3 linked regions of the Oryzias latipes genome follow. The main gene of each other region encodes a partner of the protein of the gene in region 2 in a complex. Links are inferred from orthologs where the notes say so. Each region holds a gene or a part of one and is shown on either strand. Other genes may lie near its edges. The genes, in order: washc4, washc5 and washc1.

What was found.
Region 1: washc5 (region 2) and washc4 share a complex: the UniProt entries of both Homo sapiens proteins name them as parts of the WASH core complex. The link is inferred for Oryzias latipes from reciprocal best matches to the Homo sapiens genes WASHC5 and WASHC4.
Region 3: washc5 (region 2) and washc1 share a complex: the UniProt entries of both Homo sapiens proteins name them as parts of the WASH core complex. The link is inferred for Oryzias latipes from reciprocal best matches to the Homo sapiens genes WASHC5 and WASHC1.

The regions. Positions count from the first base shown.
Region 1 is NC_019864.2:31,040,483-31,044,472, forward strand, and holds part of washc4 (WASH complex subunit 4), read left to right. Parts: intron 1-1,607; coding exon 1,608-1,762; intron 1,763-1,847; coding exon 1,848-1,922; intron 1,923-1,988; coding exon 1,989-2,093; intron 2,094-2,164; coding exon 2,165-2,299; intron 2,300-2,519; coding exon 2,520-2,628; intron 2,629-2,695; coding exon 2,696-2,762; intron 2,763-2,886; coding exon 2,887-2,973; intron 2,974-3,118; coding exon 3,119-3,266; intron 3,267-3,331; coding exon 3,332-3,428; intron 3,429-3,990. UniProt on the Homo sapiens protein: Acts as a component of the WASH core complex that functions as a nucleation-promoting factor (NPF) at the surface of endosomes, where it recruits and activates the Arp2/3 complex to induce actin polymerization, playing a key role in the fission of tubules that serve as transport intermediates during endosome sorting.
Region 2 is NC_019874.2:13,936,194-13,940,851, reverse strand, and holds the start of washc5 (WASH complex subunit 5), read right to left. Parts: upstream 3,236-4,658; 5' UTR 3,179-3,235; intron 2,389-3,178; 5' UTR 2,317-2,388; coding exon 2,131-2,316; intron 1,951-2,130; coding exon 1,805-1,950; intron 1,222-1,804; coding exon 1,137-1,221; intron 595-1,136; coding exon 494-594; intron 352-493; coding exon 159-351; intron 70-158; coding exon 1-69. UniProt on the Homo sapiens protein: Acts as a component of the WASH core complex that functions as a nucleation-promoting factor (NPF) at the surface of endosomes, where it recruits and activates the Arp2/3 complex to induce actin polymerization, playing a key role in the fission of tubules that serve as transport intermediates during endosome sorting.
Region 3 is NC_019864.2:19,200,358-19,204,748, reverse strand, and holds the end of washc1 (WASH complex subunit 1), read right to left. Parts: intron 3,524-4,391; coding exon 3,387-3,523; intron 3,300-3,386; coding exon 3,164-3,299; intron 3,085-3,163; coding exon 2,889-3,084; intron 2,792-2,888; coding exon 2,618-2,791; intron 2,525-2,617; coding exon 2,366-2,524; intron 1,761-2,365; coding exon 1,692-1,760; intron 1,602-1,691; coding exon 1,459-1,601; 3' UTR 899-1,458; downstream 1-898. Other genes in the region: ATP-dependent DNA helicase DDX11, read left to right, coding at 1-101, 178-262, 352-427, 508-662, 740-787. UniProt on the Homo sapiens protein: Acts as a component of the WASH core complex that functions as a nucleation-promoting factor (NPF) at the surface of endosomes, where it recruits and activates the Arp2/3 complex to induce actin polymerization, playing a key role in the fission of tubules that serve as transport intermediates during endosome sorting.

The sequences.
Region 1 (3,990 bases), on a different chromosome or scaffold from region 2:
CTGTTCACACCAGGACAAGTTTAACGCCTCGTGACTAAACAAAGGGCACCAATGAGAGTGTGCACACAGACGCGAAAAAACGCCACGCGTCAAAGCGTCAAAAAAAAAAAACGCCTCGGGTTCGTTTTTTTTTTTGTCGCGTCGAAATCTATTCGACCAATGAGAATGGCGCTTTTGCACACGTGTCTGGAGCTTCTGAAGTTACAGTAAAACACCACTTGGGGGCGCTCAAACACAAAACTTCCTTGCTGAACACACATACCAGCGAAGAAGTTAGACGCCAAGTAGCGTCTACACAGCAGCGAAGAAATAATGACGGACGTTCTTAAATATCCCCGAACCAAGCACCAGTTGGAGCTACTGGTGCTTGAAATATTCATGTTTTCTTTGTTTGATTCTGACTAGCGTGTAAATACTTACTCTCTTCTTCTGAGCGAAAAGCGACTTTAAGAAGCGTAAAGTTGCGCAGCGCCACCTTGTGTACAGGAGTATTTCTGTTTACATTAAGCGCCATCTAACTTCAGGGAATGAAATTGCATGTTCGCTCGGCTCATCGTCAGCGAAAATCACCTGGGTGTGAACACGAAAAACGCTGGCGAATAACGCCTGGCGAATATTCGTCCCGGTGTGTACGGGCCTTTATTCCCACATATCAACTTGCAGCCAAGATGCACATTGCAGCACGGACATCGTGGATTTTAACTGCATCCACGGCTAAATGTTGTTAGCACGTATTATTCTTATCCTAACCCTTTTTTACTGTTTTTTGCGGCCAAGAATAAAGCACTGGCTGCTGAATTTAGAAAATGTATGAGCGAACAGTCACTTAAATGAAATAAAATAATAAAAGCGCAATTAGAAGATCATCTCGCTCTATGCTGCAGCTTAAGGACTCGCCATTTCTTTTATGGCCGTTTATTTCTGCGCATCTCAAAACAGTTGAAGGTGTGGCGTATGTAAACGTTAGTTTGTGAATGTGTGTACACAGTTCAATTCTAATCCGATCTTTGATCCAAACAAAGACATTTTGTGCACGTAACCACAGCTTTTGTGTCATCCGACTCCCTGATTGATCAAAGCTCAGCTGGTTTAACTTTCAACGCGCGTTCAATGCCGCACGTTTTGTACGGATCGCCCAAAAACAGCCTTAAAAAAACGCGTAGCAGCGCATGAACGGGGAAGCCTGAAACACGCCTTTACATCGACTTTTCAGTAGAAGTGGCCGCCGAACGCGCGTCGTTGAGGGCGGCGTGAATGCAGGATGTGAGAAGCCTCCTGTCAGGATGAAGTTCTTCTCTGAGCTCCTGGAGGATCAAACTCGTTTCCACAACAATTTCTGAAACGGAGTCTGTGCTAAACAAGTCAAATGAAGATCTATGTTTTACAAGAAACCAAACAGGAAACGTCTTTAAAGGAAATCGCTCAATAAATGTCTGAATCAGAATCTCATCTTGTCAACAAAGATTGATTGGAATGGACTTGAACCTGGTCCCTCTGTCAGTTTCATCTCCCTGTTTGTGACCTGTTTAGGTTCGGTTCTGATCAGGCTCGGTTTGGTGGCTTGTCAGGAAATCCCGTTAAATGCCGCGTTTTCTCCTCTCCGTCAGCTTATGTGACTCATTATCTGGACAAAACTTTCTACAACCTGACCACCGTCGCTCTGCACGACTGGGCCACCTACAGCGAGATGAGAAACCTGGCGACCCAGCGCTACGGACTCACCATGGCGGAGGCTCACCTGCCCAGCCAGACTCTGGAACAGGTTGGCCCCTCCCACCATCACGGCAGCACGCTGCAGGGGTCAGACTAAGGGTTTGATTCCAACCACATTTCTGTGTTTTCATCAGGGTTTGGACGTTCTGGAGATCATGAGAAACATTCACGTCTTTGTTTCGCGGTTTCTCTACAACCTCAACAACCAGGTGAGTTTTCTCCAGGTGTTCCCGCTCTTCTGCTGGCTCTTCTCAGGTGATGCTTCCCTCCATCAGATCTTTGTAGAAAAGGCGAGCAACAACAAGCATCTGAACACCATCAACATCCGCCACATCGCCAACTCCATCCGCACCCATGGCACCGGCATCATGAACACCACAGTGAGTTCACGGCGGCGAGAGGAACCTGCTTCCGCTGAAGACCCTCAGACGCTCACCTGTCCTTTCTTCAGGTTAACTTCACCTACCAGTTCCTGCGGAAAAAATTCTACATTTTCAGTCAGTTCATGTACGACGAGCACATCAAATCCAGGCTCATCAAGGACATCCGCTTCTTCAAGGAGACCAAGGACCAGTCTGACCAGAAGGTTGGTGTCTTCTCTGGAGATCTGAGATGGACAGATGTGACCTTTGAGGTGGTTTGATCAGCCATGAGAGTCCAAATGACCGGACATGAACCCGCATTCATGAGAAACAAAACGTCCTTATCGTTTGGATTCAAAGTTAAAAAATGTTTTTTCCCCAAACTGCTTCTGTTTTTGCTGTAAAAACCCGATCTGGTGACCCCGCCCCCTCCCCCGGCCGCAGTACCCGTTTGAGCGAGCGGAGAAGTTTAACCGGGGCATCAGGAAGCTGGGCCTCACCCCGGACGGGCAGAGCTACCTGGATCAGTTCAGACAGCTCATCAGCCAGATCGGTGAGAGAGTCGGGCAGCGGGCGGGGTGAAGGCGCCTGCAGCTTCTGACAGCTCCGCCCTCTTTCAGGTAACGCCATGGGATACGTGCGCATGATTCGTTCTGGAGGACTGCACTGTTGCAGCAGCGCCATCAGGTAGAATGCAGCTCTTCACCACTGCATTGGTGGACAACGGTGTGCGGTCGGGCTGAGACGGCGTGCGGTCGGGCTGAGACGGCGTGCAGTCGGGCTGAGACGGCGTGCGGTTTGTCCCCTGCAGGTTCGTTCCAGACCTGGAGGACATCGTGGACTTTGAGGAGCTGGTGAAGGAGGAGGGTCTGTCTGAGGAGACTCGCAGAGCGGCGGGGTAAAACTTCCAACCTTTATTTCAACACTGAGCAGGTTTTGCTGATTGACTGTCATCTGCAGAGGTTGATGTTGTAACAGAAGGTCTGCAGGGGGCGCTGCATCCTCCTCACAGATGATCAGAACATGTTTGGTTTCCTCTCCAGCGTGTTCGACTCGGTCTTGAGTGATCTGACCAGCAACTCTGCAGAAGGGACGGAATATTTCCGGATGCTGGTGACCGTGTTTGCTCCTGAGTTTCGCAGCGCCAAGAACATGCATCTGAGGAACTTCTACATGATTGTTCCTCCGCTGGTCAGTTCTGCAGCCGCACCGCCTTTGAAAGCTGGGCTCATCGCTAACGGCTCTCTCCCTCACAGACCGTCAACTTTGTGGAGCACTCCATCAGCTGCAAAGAGAAGCTGAACAAGAAGAACAAGAGCGGTGCTGCTTTCACGGACGATGGCTTTGCTATGGGTGAGTCTGCCGTGGTCTCTAAGAGTCTTCAGGAGAAGATGTTTCAGAAAAACCTGTTGAACTTGCACTGAACAGAGTGACTGTGTTGAGTTTTTACCCCAGAAAGTAAAATCTGGACCCGGGGGTTCATTCATTCAACAAGGCGGGGTCCGATGACCCGGGTCAGGCGTTCTGCAGTCACCGCCTGGTTTGTGTTGCATCTGTCTTTAAACTGATTTGATCTGATGAAGTATCTGTGGAGGCCCTCATCCATCCAGGATGAGGTCTGTAGAAAAGGGTCATCTGGACCCAGGCTCTTCCATGACAGCAGATTCTTGTCCATTAGGACGCGAATGTTTCTACACATGAAAAGGAGGAGGTCCGCGATGAAGCGACAGTTTTTCATTTCCTGCAGGCTTTTATTTTGAAAGGGATTCCACGGTCTTCTGTTGGAGCATCATTGTGCCGGTGGTGTGAAGGCTTAGCCCATCCCGGTACCCCGTCCTCAGTGAACGCCTGCTGGTTCTCTGAGTTCTCCTCAGTCACATGAGAAGGTCACGTCGGGTCATCGGCGGCCCCTTCA
Region 2 (4,658 bases):
CACGTACAGCATGGCTGCCTGGTTAGCCAGAGCTGTGCTGCGATGCTCAGGAAGAGGATAGGCAGACACCTGAGGGGTACAAACAACACGGCGAGAGTCAACACCCAACCGGACATCAAAGAGTCAGCAAAAGGACAAATAGAGTCAGCATTTCTCACCTGGTTGTAGATGTCGTCTGAGCGCAGCCTCCCAATGACCATGCTGATGAAAGTGGTGCTGATGGGAACCCTCTGGAAGTAGCTCTCGGGGTAGTTGGCGGGCCGTTTGGCACCAGGTTGGCTGGAGAAGCCGGTGCTGCGCAGGAGCTTGCAGATGTCATCGAGGTTGGAGTCACCTGATGAGCGTGCGGCACTACAAACCCCGCCCCCAAAAAAAGTCACAAGCAGATAAACGTGATCAGAGTTTGAGGTCTGTGTGCAGCGGTGACCGTTCCGGCTCAGACAGAGAGCAGTGAGTTGGTGAGATTGTGTCTATGAGCGGCTGTGTGGGTCACCTGTATCTGTAATAGGAAACCAGCATCCTCTCCCTGACCTCTCCTTCGATTTTCTGGTCGATAACCAGCAACATGACGCCGTACAGATACAGAGCTTCACACTGAGAGAAAAAGAAAGCCCCTGAAATCAGCTGCACTGCTTCATTGAAACCCCAACGCCACACTTTTACTTTTATCCACTGTTTAAATCTAATTTCCCCAAGTGAGCTAGAATTATTGTTGAAAATGTTTATGCTGTTTGCAGTAATAAAAAAAAGAATAGATGGAAAACTCTTTTGCACAAGACAATTAATGTGTGGTTTTGTCAAAAGAAATTTCAAAAGTTAACGTAATAATTGATCAAATCTCAAACTTTTTAAATGTCAGGAATCTTATTCCCTTCATGACTTGTTGCAGAATAAGACGGTTTGGCAGCCTTGCACAATAATCCACTGTTAGCCTGTTCCTAAACTTGTAATTTACTTACCGGTACATAATAATCCTTTTTATTGTTTTAGACTACTTTTATTAGCTAGAATTAACCACTTTTTGGAAGCTGCCACGTGTAGTTTTCTCTTTCTGTAAATTGTACTGATAAAATTGAATTTTATGAATGTATTTAAAATGGAAATTGAAGGATCTTTCCCCTCTATCATGAACTTACCAGGAGCTGTTTCCCATCCTCATTTAGAAGCACCGTCTCCAGGGTCTGCTGAATGTAAACGCCCTCATGAAGGTCATCCAGATACCTGAAAGTGAAAAAAAGAAAGCATTTCAAACACATTTTGCTAATTCCTCTTTTCTTTAAGATAATTGCAGTTTTTTGGCTAACACTTTATTATTTTGTTTCAAATCTAAATGCTTTTCAACATCTAGTTAGTGGGATTTGATGCAGCAGGTTGTGAGGATTTAATGACTCAAATGCATTCCTTTTTTTTCAATTTGGTACAAAAATATTTTGCATATATTATATATATCATTATTTCAAGTATTTGTTTATTTAGACATAAATTGGAGTTCCAGCTCATCAAACCCACAAAAACAGAATTTCAAAAAATTTGAATACTGTGGAGAAATCTGTCCAAATTCTGCAGGGCTTGAATGTTTTAAACTGAGTTTACTAAATCAACTAAACAATATTACAGATCAAAAATATTTTAAAAAACTTACCATCACAAGTGTATTTAAGAAAAAAGTTGAATAAAGTGACTTACCGGTAGGTTTTATCAACTATGTTTTGTTATTCAACTGAACAAATTTCAGACCTGATAAAAGAATTTCATTTATATAATCATCTTAAAGTGAACCGGACTGCAGCTTCAGATGCTGTACCTGTTCAGATCCACAATATACTTGTGGACGCTCTCAAAAGCCAGATAGAATCTTGACAGAATCTCAATGTTGTTTTCTCTGAACTCCTCATCCAAGTCCTGAAGCTCCGGTTTGGCTTCCAGTTTACCCTCATAATACTCTGGACCCTGAAGACACATTGGTAAAGGAAATGGATGTCATGTACGTGATTGTTCATTTTTAAGATGATGTAGAAAAAGAAGACGACACAGGAAAATCTTTTAATCAAGGAAACCTATTTTGGTTTTTACTAAAATCAGACTTTTTTATCTAAGTACTTCAGAAGCCGTTCCAAGTGTTGTTTTCACCTTAAAATAGCTGAAGTCACAGATGATGTCCCCATATTTCTGCTGGTCACTTTTGTCCTTGAGCCTAAAAACTGTGGGGATGAAGTCAGACAGACGCAGGAGCTCTGCAATAATTGCATTCCCTCTGGAAACTATCCTCAGGACGGCTTGGCCACAGAGGTTATTCTCCGCCAGGAAGTCCACCATAGCAGCCAAATGCAGATCACAGAAGCCGCCAGCAACTCTATTCGGTTTCTAAAGATAAAATTCCAGGTTATCCTGTAAAGAAAAAATTAAAAAAAGGATAGCATTTAACACAAAAGCCGCCTGTAAACAACACAGAAAATACGCATTTTTCTTTTTTTAAAACTAACCGTTTAGGATTAATGGATTTATAAAATCTTCATACTTGTAGAGAATTTAAGAGGTAACCATCAGACCCAATGAGTTCATTGAGAAAAGTAGAGTTATTACAAAATAAAGCTTTAAAAAAATAAGCAGTAAGGATGACTTAAAGAGAAGGGGAGAAAACACTGCTTCATAAAGGAAATCATACAAACAGGATAATGAATTCATGTAAAATATGAAGAAAAAAAATAACGTTTTCTCCACAATAAAAGCATAAAAACAAATATGTATTTGCTCTTTAATGTAAGGAGTCATAATCCTGAGAGGCTTTTTTAAAGAAATATTTTCTTTTGTTTTGGAAATATACCAGCTAACCTATACAAACCTGTAACTAATGATCAAATAAAATAAATATATTAAAATGCATGTCAGGACGCTTCAAAATAAAATAAATGTATCACATATTAAATATATCATAAAACCTACGTTAAGGAATGTGAGAAGGTTGCTTTTAAAGACAATATGCACCATCTGTTACTTCAGCCTGGATGATGCTAACGTTAGCATGTTGCACACTTTTTGTTCTAATAAGGCGTTATATCGCGCCAAACGGATAAATATCTGCAAAGATGCACACTTATGACTAAGAGGTATGTTTAGTTTTATGTGTCGAACTAACTGTAATCTCCCTATGGTGGAAATTGTGGCCAAAAGTGCTCACCTTTTTGGAGCTCCCCTTCCCTGTTTACTTCCTCATGACCCGTCACATGACTGCGCTGCTGGGTGCGTTAGATTTCTATTACTCAGTTTGCCGGAGAAAAATGTGAGAACGAGTTCACTATTTCAGAGATTATTCCGTTTTTTTTAAGTCTTAGATATATTTATCATGATGTGATCAACTTCAAACTATCCTTTACATTTTTAAGCTTCTTAAAATGAAAAGTTATTTCACAAAATACACTTTTTTTTGTCTCCGCATTAGTTCAGATTCCTGCTGTTCCTTTTGTATGTCTCTAGGTGGCGACAAAGATCCACTAAATCCTCAGATTTTTCCTGCTGTCGCTTCCTTTCTACCAACTCAAAATTGAGGACTCATCACTTTGATACAGTAAAGACAAACTACATTTATGATTCAGACACAATCTAAAAATAAAATGATTAAAATACGTTTCCTTCATCATGGAAATAAAACTCACATTATTGCTGAGTATCTGGGACTTTTTGTCCCATCAACAAATGTGTTTCTATCATTGACTGTATACATGTATGTAGTGTGTACATGTGCATATTCCACCAAAATCTCTATTCAACAAAATAACACACATACACAAAGCAATACAAAGTAATACAACTACAATGAAAGTCCTAATAACAATGACTATAATAATATGTGAATAATAATTATTATTTTCACATAATTATAACATTAATAATAATACAATTCCTAATAAAATTCCATTGCATTTTCTTTTACAAAGTAATGGAAAAAATGTAAACATAGGCCTAATATATATATATATATATATATATATATATATATATATATATATATATATATATATATATATATATATATATATATATATATATATATATATATATATATAATGCCACACATAATTGAATGAGGTAATAGACTGTTTTTGGCAATTCTCATACACAAACTACATCGGTCTTAGAGATTATCATGTTGCCCTCAATCAAGTTGTTTTTTTCTTCGTCCCATGTTGTATGCCAGCAGGGCATGTCACGTCCTGAAAACAATTTTTTTTGCCTTCTCCCCACCCTTCTCCCGCTAGATAAGGACACCAGGTTTGTGGTTTAAATGAAATTTAGGAAACCTGTTAGAAAATCTATTCTAACTTGGTCAAACAAACGCATGTAAACACACTCATTGACAAAAGATTGGGTGCACAAATAATTAACTTTACCCATAAATACTTCAGTCTGTCACTCTGTGTCCATCCTGTCTGCATGGCGGTCTCCTTCGATTGCGCCTCTCATCTCTAATGTCACCTTCAGGCACCGATTGAACTGGACTTTTATTGCTCAATAAGTCTCACCTGAAGGCATTCTCTTCCTTTAAGCAGAACGTCCCGAAGGATAAAAACGGTTGCATGGTGACAGCTGTTTGTTTGACCTGCTCCCTCACTGTGCACCAGAGCAAGGTTTAAACTCAGCTAAATCAAAGATGACATCTT
Region 3 (4,391 bases), on a different chromosome or scaffold from region 2:
AGGTGCGCTCAGGAAAGCAGTGGACTGACCGGAGCGTTGCTTTTTTCTGTGGTTGGCGGAAAGATGAGCGAGGGAATCAACTTCTCTGATGACCTGGGCAGGTGTGGAATGTTTTTATTGCATATAGTCAACTAGCTTCTTCTGTTCCATAATGTGTTTTTTGCCGTATGATTACAGGTGTGTGGTAATGGTTGGAATGCCATATCCCAACATAAAATCCCCAGAGCTGCAGGAGAAGATGTCGTACCTCGACAAACACCTGGTTGGTCTGGTTTCATAAAGTTATGATAGAAATTCTTGTGTTTTTTTTTTTTTTTAACAGAAAAAAAATAACAATTGTTGTTTATTTAGCCTCACAGTCAAGGAAAGAGCCCCGGACAAGCACTAGTAGAGAACCTTTGCATGAAGGCTGTCAATCAGTCCATAGGTAACCATGGCAACAGATGCAGAAAATGAAGTCACGGTATTTTTGATCAACAAAACCGTCTTTGACGTCTGTCTCCATAGGTCGAGCTATCCGTCACCGTGGCGACTATTCCTCTGTAGTGCTGTGTGACAGGCGTTACTCTCGTCCCGCCACGCTCTCTAAACTTCCAGCTTGGATCAGGAGCCGCACAAGCACATATGCAACGTTTGGTCCCGCTTTTGCTGCCTTACGCAAGGTAAGGAAAACAGACAAAGATAATTGTTATCACCAAGGCGTTTGATGAACTGACTGTTCTTATTTTTTTTTTTTTAGTTCTTCATGGAGAAGAAACAGCAGCAGGTCTTTCAGAACGACTCATGAAAGAAAACACTTGTTTTTTTAATACGGTAATTAATTTTCTAAGAAATAAAAATTTTAAATGATATTTAGGGGAAATCATTACCTTAAAGAGCACTTCAACCAACAGTTTGAGAATAAATGCTCTTTATTTTTCAGGTGACATATTTTCTGCTGTCATCAACACTGTTATTCAGCTCTAAACTAATGCAGCTCATCAATGGAATAAAGAGTTTTTTCATGGCACACAGGTTATCACTGACCCAGTTTCTTAGTAAGAAAAGTTAGCTCTTGTCCTCTTAAATGAGGTCTACTAATGTGAACTACTTAAAAATGTAGATGGATGGCAGGCACAGCACAGGTAGGCACATCTTACTCTGACGTTTTAATAATTCAAGAACAAAATCCACATTGTTCTGAAATGGAAAGCATTCTTGTTACTCAGTTTGATTTTTCACAACAATTTTTTTTTTTTATTTAGAACCCATTGATAAATCAAAGGTACCGTAAATAAAATATGAATGAAAATGTTCATTTGTGTTGTAGTTTGACTTTGAGCTTTTGCATAAACTTTAAGTTGATTTATAAATGTCCTGTCCTATTGTCCTGTTTAATTGAAAAATCAAAACAAATATTGCCAATACGAGAAATTCTTTTTCACAACGTCGGTTCTGTCTGCCGCACGTCACGTCACGTCACGCTTCCCAGTCGTCGTCGTCCGTCGCTGTTTGCGGGGCAGGAAGTGGAGGGATGGCGTTGGACATCCTGGCAAACGCACCACTTGCACCTGCGGGAGCCTCACCGGACTCTCCAGCTGCCGGGCCTTTTCCAGATATTCCTGAAAGAAGGAAGCAGGAAGTAAAGCAAAAGCTGTTCCAAAAACCTCAGTTTTTAAAATATTTTATTTAAAAGACAAGTCTTGTCGTACCTTTTCTGCGCATGGAGAGTTTATTGAAGAGATCAGACATGAAGTCGCCACCACTGGATACCACCCCAACTGATGAGAGATGAAACAAGGAGCTTCTAAATGAATGAGCTTCAATCAATTATTTAAATGAAATGAGTAGATGGAACTTTGCATCAAAGTAGAACATGTGACTTCAAGAGAGAAAAAAAGCAATGGATCAAGTTGAAAACCATGTTGGAAGAACAATAGTCTTCAATTTGTCTTGCAGTGTCTCACAATAACATGGCTGACAGCAAAATGTCAGCTGTTTGTGGTACAAGCACCAGATTTAGCATTCAGATCTGTTTCAGAAAATCACATTTGCCAGAAGAAAGTTCAATATTTAAAAAAGAAAAAAAAAGCGAAAGACTCAATTTAGTGCACTAACAGTCCATATTGTTCAGACTGGGGCAAATCGAAATTAATTTTTTTTTTTTAATAATTTAGTGAAAGGCCTCCATCTTTCAAAATGGCTGCCATTTTGGATTTTTCTCGTGGCAAACGAGCTTTTCTGAGAGGAGATCCTGAGGTACATCCATGGTAGATTTGGCGCTGGTACCACAAAATGCACGATTTGTCTGAAATGTCAACCTAAGCGGTCTCTGCTACTTGGCCTTCCTCCACAGATAGATCCACATGCCGGTTGCAACAGTCACCTTGCTCTTGCTCCTTCTGCTTCTTCTTCTCCATCTTGCGCTCCTTGACATTGCGTAACTTGGCCTTGCCAATGCCCCCGGCGTTGCGAATGGATTCCAGCAGACTGGCACGACCGTCTGATGGCTGAACCACTTCGCTGGGAGCGCCTGCCATGCGACCTGCAGCATCACAGTTTGAGCTAGCGCTCGTTACTTTTAATGAGGTCGAACAGAATCCACAGTTGACGTGACACGAGTGCAGACGTGACCCACCTGAGCTTGGCACATCCGTGACGTCTGAGGAGCTTTCCGCTGGAGGAGGGGGAGGAGGGGGTGGTGGAGGTGGGACCCCCATGGGAGCAGCAGGAGCAAGGGAAGGAGGAGGGGGAGGAGGAGGAGGCGGTGGAGGTGGAGAGAGCGATGGAGAATTCAATGGAAGGAGGGTTCCTAAAAGACATATGAAAGCCATTTTCCCCATCATTATATACATGTTTAAAGGTTGAATAGCATGTTTGGTGAAATAAAAAAGTCATTAGTCCAGTACCAGGTGCACTACTGTCATCATTGAAGGAGGGAAGCTCAGGAATGTGTATGGGACCTGACGGTGCAAATCCAGGACCGAGGTCTGCGCTGTATGACAGATCGTCTGCGATGCCTGGCAGGTCGGGCAAATAGGACGGCACATCTATCTCGGGGACCTGACCCAAGTCTGGCACATAGAAATAGCTTTCTGCCGTCTGCTAGGAAAGAAAAAGTTCATCAAGATAAATCCTACATTTGACGGCAGCAAAGCTGCAGCGTGCTCAGTCGTTGAAGAACCTGTCTGTCCAGCTGCTCTCGCTTCGTAATGGACAGAGGAGCATCGAAGGGTTTCTGCTCTTTTTCTGTCTCCAGTGTCGTGTGCGTTTTTGTCACTGCTCCCGCCAGAGGATCAAGGAACACATACTTCTTATACCTAAATGCAGAACACACGCGTAAACATGCAAGCACAGATTGGCAGCAAGCAGAAGCATCCGTCTGTGTGTTTGTGTTTAAAACTCACAGATTCTCTGTGGTATTAAAGAGCAGCAGAGAGCTGACAGATGAGATGTTTCGAGGCAGACTGCCCAGTCCTTCCTCTGCCTCATCCTCAGACTTCTTCTTGTTGCTCACACACAATGGGAAATGCATTAACTTCTCCTAAAAGACAAAAAGTCAAAATTAGATTTTTTTTTTTTTACAAACTTTGAAATCCTAAACGATGCAAATGACGACTGCCACTAAAGTGCTTCTGTGCGGAGATGCGCACACCCACAAGCACAGAAACACCAAATGATGTGACTGGGGAGCTTGCTTCTAAAACACACTGAATAATGCATTTGTGTGAGATTGGGTTATTCTTTTCCTTCCAGGCTGACAAACTAACACAGACACACAAACACCCCTCCAAAAATACACATAACTGCAACAACGAAGAAAAGAAAAAGGAAAAGCTCATGCAGCAGAAAAGATAATACTAGCTGGTGCAAAGTTTCCAGAAATGCTTCAGAGTAAACTGTGGGGTTTGTTATAAAATGCTGCAGAGTAAGATATGTACCCAAACACACACAGTTAACTTAAAGGCTAACGCAGCTTGGAGTACTTCATACAATACAGTATGCAACAGTGGAGTGCAAAAGTAAACCAGGATTTGTTGATCTGACTGAAAAAAATAAAAATAAAAACCCTAAAGGAATGCCTTCATTTTAGCTCCTTTCAGTCTTTGCTCCAAAGAACCCCAAATCAATTTTCTTCTGGGATTTTAAAAGTAAATTTCACATTTTTTGTCTTTTTATTTTAGGTAGAAGCAACAAGCAGTGGCTAATAAGATGATAATACATAACTAGAACATATATATATATAAATTAAAAAAAAAAAAAAAGTAAAAAAACAACAGCTAAACTTGACCCGGTGGGTTCTCAAGCGTTGAAAGGTTTAAATAATAATTTTAAAAAGTCCCAAATATATAAAAATAAAAAAAATTCATACTATAACTGAAGTTTTCATCCAGTGGCAAACAATAAATGTT